2 linked regions of the Caenorhabditis elegans genome follow. The protein of the gene in region 1 interacts with the protein of each later gene in a pairwise test. Each region holds a gene or a part of one and is shown on either strand. Other genes may lie near its edges.

Evidence for each region.
Region 2: the proteins of ZK1240.1 (region 1) and magu-1 interact in a two-hybrid assay, tested with the Caenorhabditis elegans proteins (2 studies listed by BioGRID).

Annotation. Positions count from the first base shown.
Region 1 is NC_003280.10:2,327,435-2,332,629, forward strand, and holds ZK1240.1 (RING-type domain-containing protein), read left to right. Parts: upstream 1-1,957; 5' UTR 1,958-2,096; coding exon 2,097-2,175; intron 2,176-2,242; coding exon 2,243-2,412; intron 2,413-2,455; coding exon 2,456-2,524; intron 2,525-3,460; coding exon 3,461-3,648; intron 3,649-3,697; coding exon 3,698-3,752; intron 3,753-3,806; coding exon 3,807-4,116; intron 4,117-4,167; coding exon 4,168-4,208; intron 4,209-4,259; coding exon 4,260-4,280; 3' UTR 4,281-4,426; downstream 4,427-5,195. Other genes in the region: ZK1240.8 (RING-type domain-containing protein), read right to left, coding at 4-46, 94-281, 1,267-1,496, 1,543-1,618; F43C11.8 (RING-type domain-containing protein), read left to right, coding at 5,086-5,161.
Region 2 is NC_003281.10:468,521-473,751, reverse strand, and holds the start of magu-1 (MAGUK family), read left to right. Parts: upstream 1-2,049; 5' UTR 2,050-2,056; coding exon 2,057-2,135; intron 2,136-2,429; coding exon 2,430-2,740; intron 2,741-3,344; coding exon 3,345-3,557; intron 3,558-3,866; coding exon 3,867-3,947; intron 3,948-4,058; coding exon 4,059-4,245; intron 4,246-4,291; coding exon 4,292-4,389; intron 4,390-5,157; coding exon 5,158-5,231. Other genes in the region: nemp-1 (Nuclear envelope integral membrane protein), read right to left, coding at 1-293, 355-521, 575-657, 1,007-1,089, 1,139-1,293, 1,341-1,419.

The sequences.
Region 1 (5,195 bases):
TACCTCCGAAAGCTTTTCAATAAAAAGTTGTCTATTTGACATAGCTCTGAAAAATTGAAAATTTGCAAAATATCTTCTAATCTCTCAACCTACTCTCTAAATTCTTCTAGCTGCACTGTGAATGATTCAGCATTCAATTTCATCTGTTTCAGCCTGCATTCCAGTACATCTCTAATTTTTCCAGCTTCTACACTCATCAAAACTTTTGTATGACCTGTATGAACTCCAAACTCCTCGCAAGTCCTACACATTAGTTTGTCGATTGAGGGACAGTCGTGCTCCTGGAAATTAAGAATTTATTACTGATTTTCACGCAACTCTTTCCAATTTTTCAAATAATCTAAAGCATTTTGAACACAAAATTTTTGAAGTTAAATATGGAGTAGCGCCAGTGGGAAAATTGTTAAAAACCACTTCTCTGGTTCCAAAATTCACAAATATCATAGTTTAAATTTTTTTTAACTTCTAAATTTTTGAAAATTGGAAAACTCTCAGTTTTGCCACGTTTTGCCAAGAAAAAACATTTTAAAAAATTTTTGAAATTTTTCCATAGGAGTCTTTTCTAACATTTTCCCACTAGCGCTAACTTTTGCTCGTCTCAGTTTCTTTTGAAAAAATTCGAAATTTTCATATTCTACCATGTTTTCCTTATTAAAAAGAACATTCAACTATGTGTTTTCAGTTGAAAACAGTAGTGTTTTTTTAAAATTTGCTAGAAGATTCTAGAACATTCCAGAATTTTCTATAATTTTTTCAGAAGGTTCGAGAACATTCCAGAATTTTTTTTGAATTTTTTAGAAGGATCTAGAACATTACAGAGATTTTTTTCTAGAAGTTTCCACGTTTTTTTTAAAATTTTCTTAGATGTTCTAGAACATTCGGGAATTTTTTTTTAATTGCTAGAAGTTTCTAAAACATTCCAGAATTTTCCCAAATTTTCAAGAAGGTTCTAGAACATTCCAGAATTTTTTTGAATTTTCTAGAATGTTCTAAAACATTCCAAAATTTTCTCAAACCTTCCAGAAGGTTCTAGATCATTTCAGAATTTTCTTGAATTTTCCAGAATATTCTAAAACATTTCAGAATTTTCGAAATTTTCATATCCTACCATGTTTTCCTTATCAAAAAGAACATTCAACTATGTGTTTTCAGTTGAAAACAGTAGTGTTACAGATATTAAACTTTAAGAAATACCCAAAAAAAAACCATAAATTTCACTTTCAAAAAATTTATATGAAACTTTCGTTGCTTATCAGCTTAACCTACACTGCACAAAAACTCCGCAATATTATATCGATGCTCTTTGCACTTTGGCGGTGAGTTACTCGAACTAGCTTCCATCATCTCCATAGCCTGCATCAGACCAAAATTTTTCTGCAGGCTCTCCACATTTCCATTTTGGACCTCTGTTGTTTCAGAGCACTTTTTTGGGCACAAAATCACAGAATTCGAGATTAGTTTGACTGCACAGTTCTGACAAATCGAGTGACCACATTCTAAACTTTCGAAAATATTTTACAGAAGTTACAAAAAAAAACTCACTTAAAACTCGCGGAGCACGACTTTCATCTAAATTCGAATAATCTTCATTGCAAACTTCACACTCAAAAATTGCCATTTCATGTCACTAAAGGAGCATTAGATAACAAAATAGATTAGTAAGAGTATTTATATAATTCCTTGTGAAGCACGAAAAAAGTGAGTATTTTCAAGAATTTCGTATGATTCATAATTCATTAAAAAATACGAGTTGTATCCTTTTTGAGTCATAAGCATAAAATAGATAACACATTCAAACTCAATTACAAACTCAATTACATTTCAAACTCAATTATAAGTTGCAAAACCGATACCTACTACACAACTTGAAATGTCATTTGCCAAAGGTACCTATATGTAGACAGGCAGGCGCCTACTCGCCTATGCCTACTTCCTAGGCAAAACCATGCCCACCTACTACAATCAGTTTTTGCGTAACTCTCACGAGCCCGTAAAAATCGTTATCAACTGGAAATTTGTGTCAACAAGGAGTCAGCCACCCGGTCGTTTCTCTAGTTTTTTCCCCGATTCTTCTCGAAATTCTCCAGTCTCCAGAAATGTCAAAAGTTATCGAATGTGAAATTTGCAATCTGGAGTTCTCAAGTGTCAATGAAGATCAGGTTCCAAGAATTTTGAGTGAGTATATTTTTTTCTGTCAAATACGAATACGAAGCTTGAATCTAAAAATAGGTAAATGATTCAGAATGTGGCCACTCGGTTTGTCAGTGCTGTGCGACAAAACTACTAAAAAACTCGGCGATTTCTTGTCCATTCTGCCGGGAAACAACAAGTGTCAGTGCGGTAAAGGATCTGCAAAAGAATTTTGCACTGCTGCAAATAATTGAACACACGAAAACTGAACGTGTAGAAGAGGTACGATATACTAGATAATTTAATTAATGAGAAAGTTTTTCAGGAAGATGAAGCAGATGTACCGCCAAAATGCGCGACCCATAAATATAATATGGCGGAGTTCGTTTGTCTTGTGAGTTTTTATCTGGAAAATTTGAAAAAAATTCTGGAATGTTTTAGAAACTTCTAGCAATTAAAAAAAATTCCCGAATGGTCTAGAACTTTCTGGAAAATTCAAGAAAATTCTGGAATGTACTAGAACTGTCTGGATAATTCGGGAAAATTCTGAAATGTTTTAGAATATTCTGGAAAATTCAAAAAAACTCTGAAATGATCTAGAACCTTCTGGAAGGTTTGAAAAAATTCTGGAATGTTTTAGAACATTCTAGAAAATTTGGGAAAATTCTGGAATGTTTTAGAAACTTCTAGCAATTAAAAAAATTCCCGAATGTTTTAGAAACTTCTAGCAATTAAAAAAAAATTCCCGAATGTTCTAGAACATCTAAGAAAATTCAAAAAAAAACCTGGAAACTTCTAGAAAAAAATCTCCGGAATGTTCTAGATCCTTCTTAAAAATTCCAAAAAAATTCTGGAATGTTCTCGAACCTTCTGAAAAAATTATAAAAAATTCTGGAATGTTCTAGAACCTTCTAGCAAATTTCAAAAAATTCTAGAATGGTCTAGAACCTTCTGTAAATTTTGAGAAAATTCTGGAATGTTTTAGAAACTTCTAGCAATTAAAAAAAATTCCCGAATGGTCTAGAACCTTCTGGAAAATACAAGAAAATTCTGGAATATTCTAGAACCTTCTGGAAAATTCGAGAAAATTCTGGAATGTTCTAGAACCTTCTGGAAAATTTTAGAAAATTCTGGAATGTTCTAGAACCTTCTGGAAAATTCGAGAAAATTCTGTAATGCTCTAGATCATTCTGGAAAATTTTAGAAAATTTTGGAATGTTCTAGAACCTTCTAGCAATTTTCAAAAAAACTCTAGAATGATCTAGAACCTTCTGGGAAATTTAAGAAAAATTCTGGAATCTTCGAGAACCTTCCTTAATTCTCCTTCCAGGACCCCAACTGCTCCTCCGACGAAAAGCTAATGTGCCGAACTTGCGAGGAGTTTGGAGTTCACGCCGGACACTCGAAGGGCCTCCTACAGACGGAAGCTTTGAAATTGAGAACGTTGCTCAAAGATAAGCTTTTAAAGTCCGAAGATCAGATTGTTCAAATTGACAAGAACATTGAAGAGGTTGACAGGTTAGTTTAAAAAGCGGTAGATCACAATTTTAGCTCGCTGAAATTTCAGCGCCCAGCAAACAAATCAAGTAGATGGGAAGGTGTTTCAAGATAAAAAAGATTTGGTTAGTGATTTTTTTTTGAAACGGGGACGAAATACAATTCCAGAACATTTTCAGATATCCGTCTACTATACCTCAATACGAGAGACCTTAGATGCCCAGGAAGCCCTTGCAAATCAAAAACTACGCGAAATTGCAGAATCCAATTCAGCTAGCAATAAATTACTACTAGAAGAATTGTCGGAATCCCTGGAAACCCAGAAATTGAAAAACGAGAAATTAAAGTCGTTTCTGGGAATGAGCAACGCGGATTTGTTAGCTCTAAATTCAGAAATTCAGCTCTGGGATGACTCGGAAAATACAGAAGTTGAGCCTATTCAGTTTGATGTAGCATTAAATTTTCCAGAAGTGAACAGGTTAGCTGTGGGTAAGTGGATTTGGAAGGAAGTTGGTAGATCAATGTCAGGAAGTTTTGTAGATGTGGCAAATGCTTCAATGTCAAGCTCTCTGGAGCCAGATGTAGGTTTTAATGATAATTTAGCATTTGTATTATAGGTACATGAATTTCAGAATATAACCCTGTGGCTTTGAATGTTCCAAACAAGGCAGTTTTTTGGTTTTAAAGTTTTCAATCATTTTTTACTTTGTACAAATACCGATAAACAACCGAAAATTCAACTCTCCAATCCTGATTTTTTTGGCCCTTTTCGGGCAATATAAATTTTTGAAATGTCTAATTTTTTGGTATTTTATTTTTCTGAGTTCTCATATTTTCTAGGATTTATTTTTTATCTCTTTTTTCTCCGCCTAGCCTACATTTAAGCTTAAGTCTAAGCCTAAGCTTCATCCTAAGCCAAAGGCTAAGCCTAAATCAAAGCCTAAGCATAAGCCTAAGCCTAAGTCTCGAAAACTTGAAAATCGGAAAACAAAAATTTACGTTTTTTCGATTTTCCGGAAAATCCAAAAATCGAAAAAAAAAATGATCTAAAAATTAATCATAAAATACGATTTTTATCTAATTTTTTTTCTATTGATAAGAGAAAAAAATTTCGAAAAATCAAAAAAAAAAACGAAAATTTTCGATTTTTCGATTTTTCTAAAATAAGCCCGCTCCCGTACAAACAGTGCTATAGGTGCTCGGCAGGTTTCAGGCAGGCGCCAGGCTCTGAAAACGTTTTATTTTACGAAAAACTATTACGAAATCCGTAGTAACTGACCACATAGAATTAGCAATAGTGTTGAAAATGGTGTATCTAAACTGATATGAGTCAGCAAAAAATATTTACCGGTTTCCGTGTATTCTTGGTCACCAAATTGTTATCGTCTTATCGCAGTGTCAGCGGGAGAACTCCCAAGACCATTCGTTTATTTTTCCAACCCTCCGTACAGTTCCGAAATGTCATTTATTGAGTGTGAAATTTGCAACGAAGATTTCTCAAGTGCCACCGATGAAAATATTCCTAGGATTTTGAGTAAGCTTTTGCTACCTTTCCTAAAATTAAAAAA
Region 2 (5,231 bases), on another chromosome or scaffold:
ATTATCAGAGCTCCGATCGTTCCAGTCGATACCTCAACCATTTGCACCGAGAAATAAATTAGCGCAAGGGCGACGAGCTGAAGGGTCCATTGAGCGATGTCATGGGATCTCGCGTCAGTTGGAGGGCCTCGCTTGTAGCAGACCGCCATTGAGATCAGAAGAACCGTGGCAAAGTATCCGATCACGTATTTTTGATATTCAATCATGATGCTTTGAAGATTTGACCAGGCGAAGTGAAGCATGTAAAGGGAGACTGACCAGCCACCAATGAGGATCGGAACTCCAATTGTTTTCTGAAAATTTGGAGTTTTTTGATGAATTTGCCAATATTTAGCAGAACCTAATTTCCCATACCTTCGGCGCAACACGCCACACAATAAATGCCACCAAGAGCAGTGAAGCGAGCAATCCGAAAGAACATCCACTGGTGTAGTAGAAGACGACATTTCTAACGAGCTTGCTGGCGAGCAAAAATAGCACGATTGCTCCGACGTAGACACCAACACGGAAATAGTTGACTTCTGGAAGAATTTGTTTAACGATTTTTTAAAAATAAATTCAATTTAATACTAACTCCAAATTAAAACCGATATTTCGTATGGTTCAGTTGTGGAGACGCCGACGATTGTGTCATTGAACGGATTTAACTGATGAGATCTGCAAAATTTAGTTTAATTGTTGGATTTTTCAGAATATTTTACAGCTAGAGTTGGGATACCCGAAAATCCGTGACTTTCTGCAAAATCTTCGATGAATTTACTAAAATCCTAGCAGAAACGCAAAAGTTTAATCGAATTTTAATTAAAATTAGACGGAAAATTCGGAATTATTGGCTTTCTTCTAACTTTGGGTCTGCTAAATATTTAGCATACCCAACTTTGGTGTGCTAAATATTTAGCAGACCAAAATTTCCACGTTTCTCTGTTGCACATTTCTATTTATCAGCGAAATCCAACAAATTTTTGCTGATTTATCATAAAATCTGTGTCTTTTTCGCGGTCCAAACCTCAAAAGTGCGGCTTTCCGTAAAATTCCGAAATAACGATTGTCATTATCGTAAAGCTGTTGAACAGTTGTGCAGTTTGTACCCTGAAACAACTCCATTTTATATTTTCGCAAGCATTTCCCGAGAACCTACCTGATAAAACTGATATTGATCCGCATTTGTCAGATTAGTCTGCAAAAAAACATCGGTAAACGCGTATATCGCGTTGTAAGGTAGTGCTTTCTGATAGAAAAAGTCGAGATTGTACGAGTAAAGCTTGGCGCCGACACGAAGGACCTGGTTTAGAGCTGAAAATTATTTTTTTTTTAATTTTGAAACTTTAAAAAAGTCTTACCTGCCGGTTTTTGCTCACAATCCTCGAATTTATAGGCCAAGCTACCCGCGACGAGTAGTGCGAGGGTCAGTAAGCGCATCTGCGCCGAATTTTTGCTGAAAATTCAGAAATATTTGTTGGAAAATTAGAAGATGGGGAGAAATTCAACCGAAATTCAGAGAAAAAACGTGAAAATTCACATGAAAATTCGAAATCTAGGTTTTCGCGCTGCCGGGTCCCGCCACGAAAGTATTCTGTGGACTCCTCGTGGACAACTTTCAGTTATTTTGTTTTGTTATCAATTTTTAGTTAATTTTCGAAAATTTCTGGAATTCGATTCCAAAATCAGAAAAGAATGATTGAAAAATTCGAAGAAAATCGAAAAAATTGTGAAATATCGAAGGAAAGTCGATATTTATGAACTAAACTTCGCCAAAAATTGATTTAAACTCGAAAAATTAACGATTACAATAAAAAAATGTCATAAATTTTAATTTAAATACGTTTTATCAAACCTGAAAAAATAAAATTTAAATTCAAATTTCCTTGCAACGACACTCCGCCGCACGCCTTGTTTAACCGAGCCCCTCTAAATTAAAAGGTTCCCCCTTTGTTTTACACTAAAGTGCTCATTTTTTCGCTTTCAATTGATTTTTTGACAGAAATTTCGTGTATTTTTACGAATTAGTGCTGAAATTTGAAGAAATTTGAAGAAAAAACCGAATTCCAGATCTCAAATGCCCGACAATTTATCGGCAATATTTGGAACAATACTGGATTATGCAGAGGAAGTAGCAGCGGGGACATCTAATGAGAGTACGTGTTTGAAAATCGAGAAATTGCAAGACATTGAGCAGATAAAAGAGATTCTTGGCGGAAGAATAATACAATTTCGGCGAAAATTAAAGGAATTTTGGTCTGCTAAATATTTCGCAGACCCAAATATAACTTTTTTTTTGAAAATACGGTTTTTAGAATTTTAAGTAGATAAATAAGCTAGTTTAAACATTTTTAATCTTAAAAAAATCAAGTTTTTTATGGTTTTTAAGCAAATTTTAGCTACTTTTGAAAAAAAAAGTGGCAATAAACACCAATTTACTGAAATTCCAGACGACGAAAGGCCTCCACGAACAAGTTTAACGAAAAAGCAACAAAAAGCCGTATCAATTCTGCGGAATTTCTCAACAAACGACCAGAAACAAGAGATCTCATTTCAAGAACTATCACAGAACGTTCTCGACGACTGGGACATTTCAAATATCAAATCTTCGTCGGTTCAGCAACTCGTTGAGCTCCTAAATTTGCCACGTGTACAGGGAGTATTATGGGCGGCGCAGGAAATTTCAGCCGGGCGGTTTGCTCCGCAGCTTCCAGACGTTCCGTTCGAAGTTGACGAGGATGATGGGGTCGCTGTGAAAATTGTGAGGATCGACGGTTTTTGTTCGGAAATTCTATTGAAATTTTCAAAATTTTGGAAAAATTGGCTAGTAAAATTGACAATTTTTTCAAATTTCCACTTTTATAAAATTCTATTGGTCTGCTAAAATTGGCTTGGGTCTGCTAAATATTTAGCACACCCAACTTTGGTCTGCTAAATATTTAGCAGACCCAACTTTGGTCTGCTAAATATTTAGCAGACCCAACTTTGGTCTGCTAAATATTTAGCATACCTAACTTGGGTCTGCTAAATATGGGCATTGGTCTGCTAAATATTTAGCATACCTAACTTGGGTCTGCTAAATATTGGCAATGGTCTGCTAAATATTTAGCAGACCCAACTTTGGTCTGCTAAATATTTAGCATACCCAACTTGGGTCTGCTAAATATTTAGCATACCTAACTTGGGTCTGCTAAATATTGGCATTGGTCTGCTAAATATTTAGCATACCCAACTTTGGTCTGCTAAATATTGGTTTGGGTCTGCTAAATATTTAGCATACCCAACTTTGGTCTGCTAAATATTTAACAGACCCAAAAATTTTATATTCCATTTCATTTTTCTAATTTTTTGTTTCAATTTTCCAGGTGCGAATAGTGCGACGTGGCGAACCCCTCGGTGCAACAATAAAATGCGAACGTGGCAAAGTATACGTGGCACGAATAATGGCGAACGGTGTGGCAGACCGTAGTGGATGTATTCAGGAAGGCGATCGAGTATTGGAGGTCAATGGGATTACTGTAGCGGATAAGGAGCCCAGGGAAATCGTGAAGCTGCTGGATAAATGTGATAATGGAATTGTTAGTGATTTTGTTTTAAAAAATTCGAAAAAACAACAATTTCCTAGCAGTTTATCACGAAAATCAGAGAAAATTTGTAAAAAATCACATATTCGTATCGTCTTGTATACCTGAAAATTGCTAAAAAATTCTGTATTTGTTAAAAAACATTGAAGATGGATTTATTATAATTTAAAAAAAAAACCTGAAATATCAGAAAAAATTTGCATTTTCTCAGTAATTTGTAACTTTTAGCCTGAACTAAAAAAGTTTTTAAGAAAATCTATAAAAATACACGTTTTTTCTCAAATTTCCAATATTATTTTTCAGATAACCTTCAAGCTGATCCCTGCAGAAATAAACCAGAAGTTAAAGCAGAAAAAGTCGTCACATCGGTATGCCCGAGCTTTGGTAAGTGGTTTTTTCTAGTTTTTCTCAGAATTTTAGTCCAAAATTCGCAAATTTTTCAATTTCCAAGTAGAAATTCCGTAAAAATAGCCTAGAATTCTTCCTAGTTTTCAGTTCGACTACGATCCATGGCAGGACAAACGTCATCCCTGCCCAGAAGCTGCAATTTCCTTCCGCGGCGGTGATATTCTAGAGATCCTCGACGAAAAGGACCAATATTGGTGGCAAACTCGAAAAATCGGATTCGGAGCACTGGCGAGGCGGAAAGAGAGTCATGATGACGAGAATCGAGATGATTCCAGTGAGAAAATTGCGCTCTGAAATTCCAAAAATAATGATTTTTTCAGAAAAAGTGGGTCTCGTACCGTCGGAATGGCTACAGTGTCAATCGGAAATTCCAGAAAATGGAATAGATACTTCAGATGATTTTCAGTCATTTTTAGAGGTATAATTTTGGAAAAAGGGTTTAAAAGTGACTTATGACTTCAGAAAAATGAGAAAATTTAATTTTAAAAAAATCTAATTCCACGTGGTTTTTATCCAGATAATTGGAATTTTGGAGATCCAGAAAATTCCACTTTTGCACTTTTTTTCAGAATTTTCTTTAAAAAGCGTAGTTTTTTTTTCAATTTAAACGCTATAAAATATTGGCAACACTAAAGTCCAATCGGATCCTTAAAAATTCAAAAAATCGAAAAAAAAAGTGGAATTTGAGTAAAAAATCTATTTTTTGCGAGTTTTTGAACATAAAAATGGATTTTTCGTTAATTTTTAGGTAAAAAATAAGAGAATTTTCAGTGGAAATTTAGCTAAAATGGCGATTTTTAACGTTCACGACTGAAAATTGTGGGGTTTTTAGCGCGAAAAATCGATTTTTTTGGGATTTTTTAGGTTAAAAATGGGAATTTTCAGTGAAATTTAAGTAAAAAATCAATTTTTTGCGAGTTTTTGAACAGAAAAATGGATTTTTCGTTACTTTTTAGGTAAAAAAAAGAGAAATTTTTTCATTTAAAAAAAAACCAATTACACGTGGTTTTTATCCAGATAATTGGAATTTTGGAAATCCAGAAAATTCCACTTTTGCACTTTTTTTCAGAATTTTCTTTAAAAAGTGTAGTTTTTTTTCAATTCAAAGCTATAAAATTGGCAACACTAAATCTCGAATCGGATCCTTAAAAATACGAAAAAAATCGAACATTTTTGCGATTTTCAGAATCACAAAGGACGCTTCTACGAGAGTGTATTTCGATGGAGAAATAAGAAAAAACGGCGACGAGTCGTTGTGCT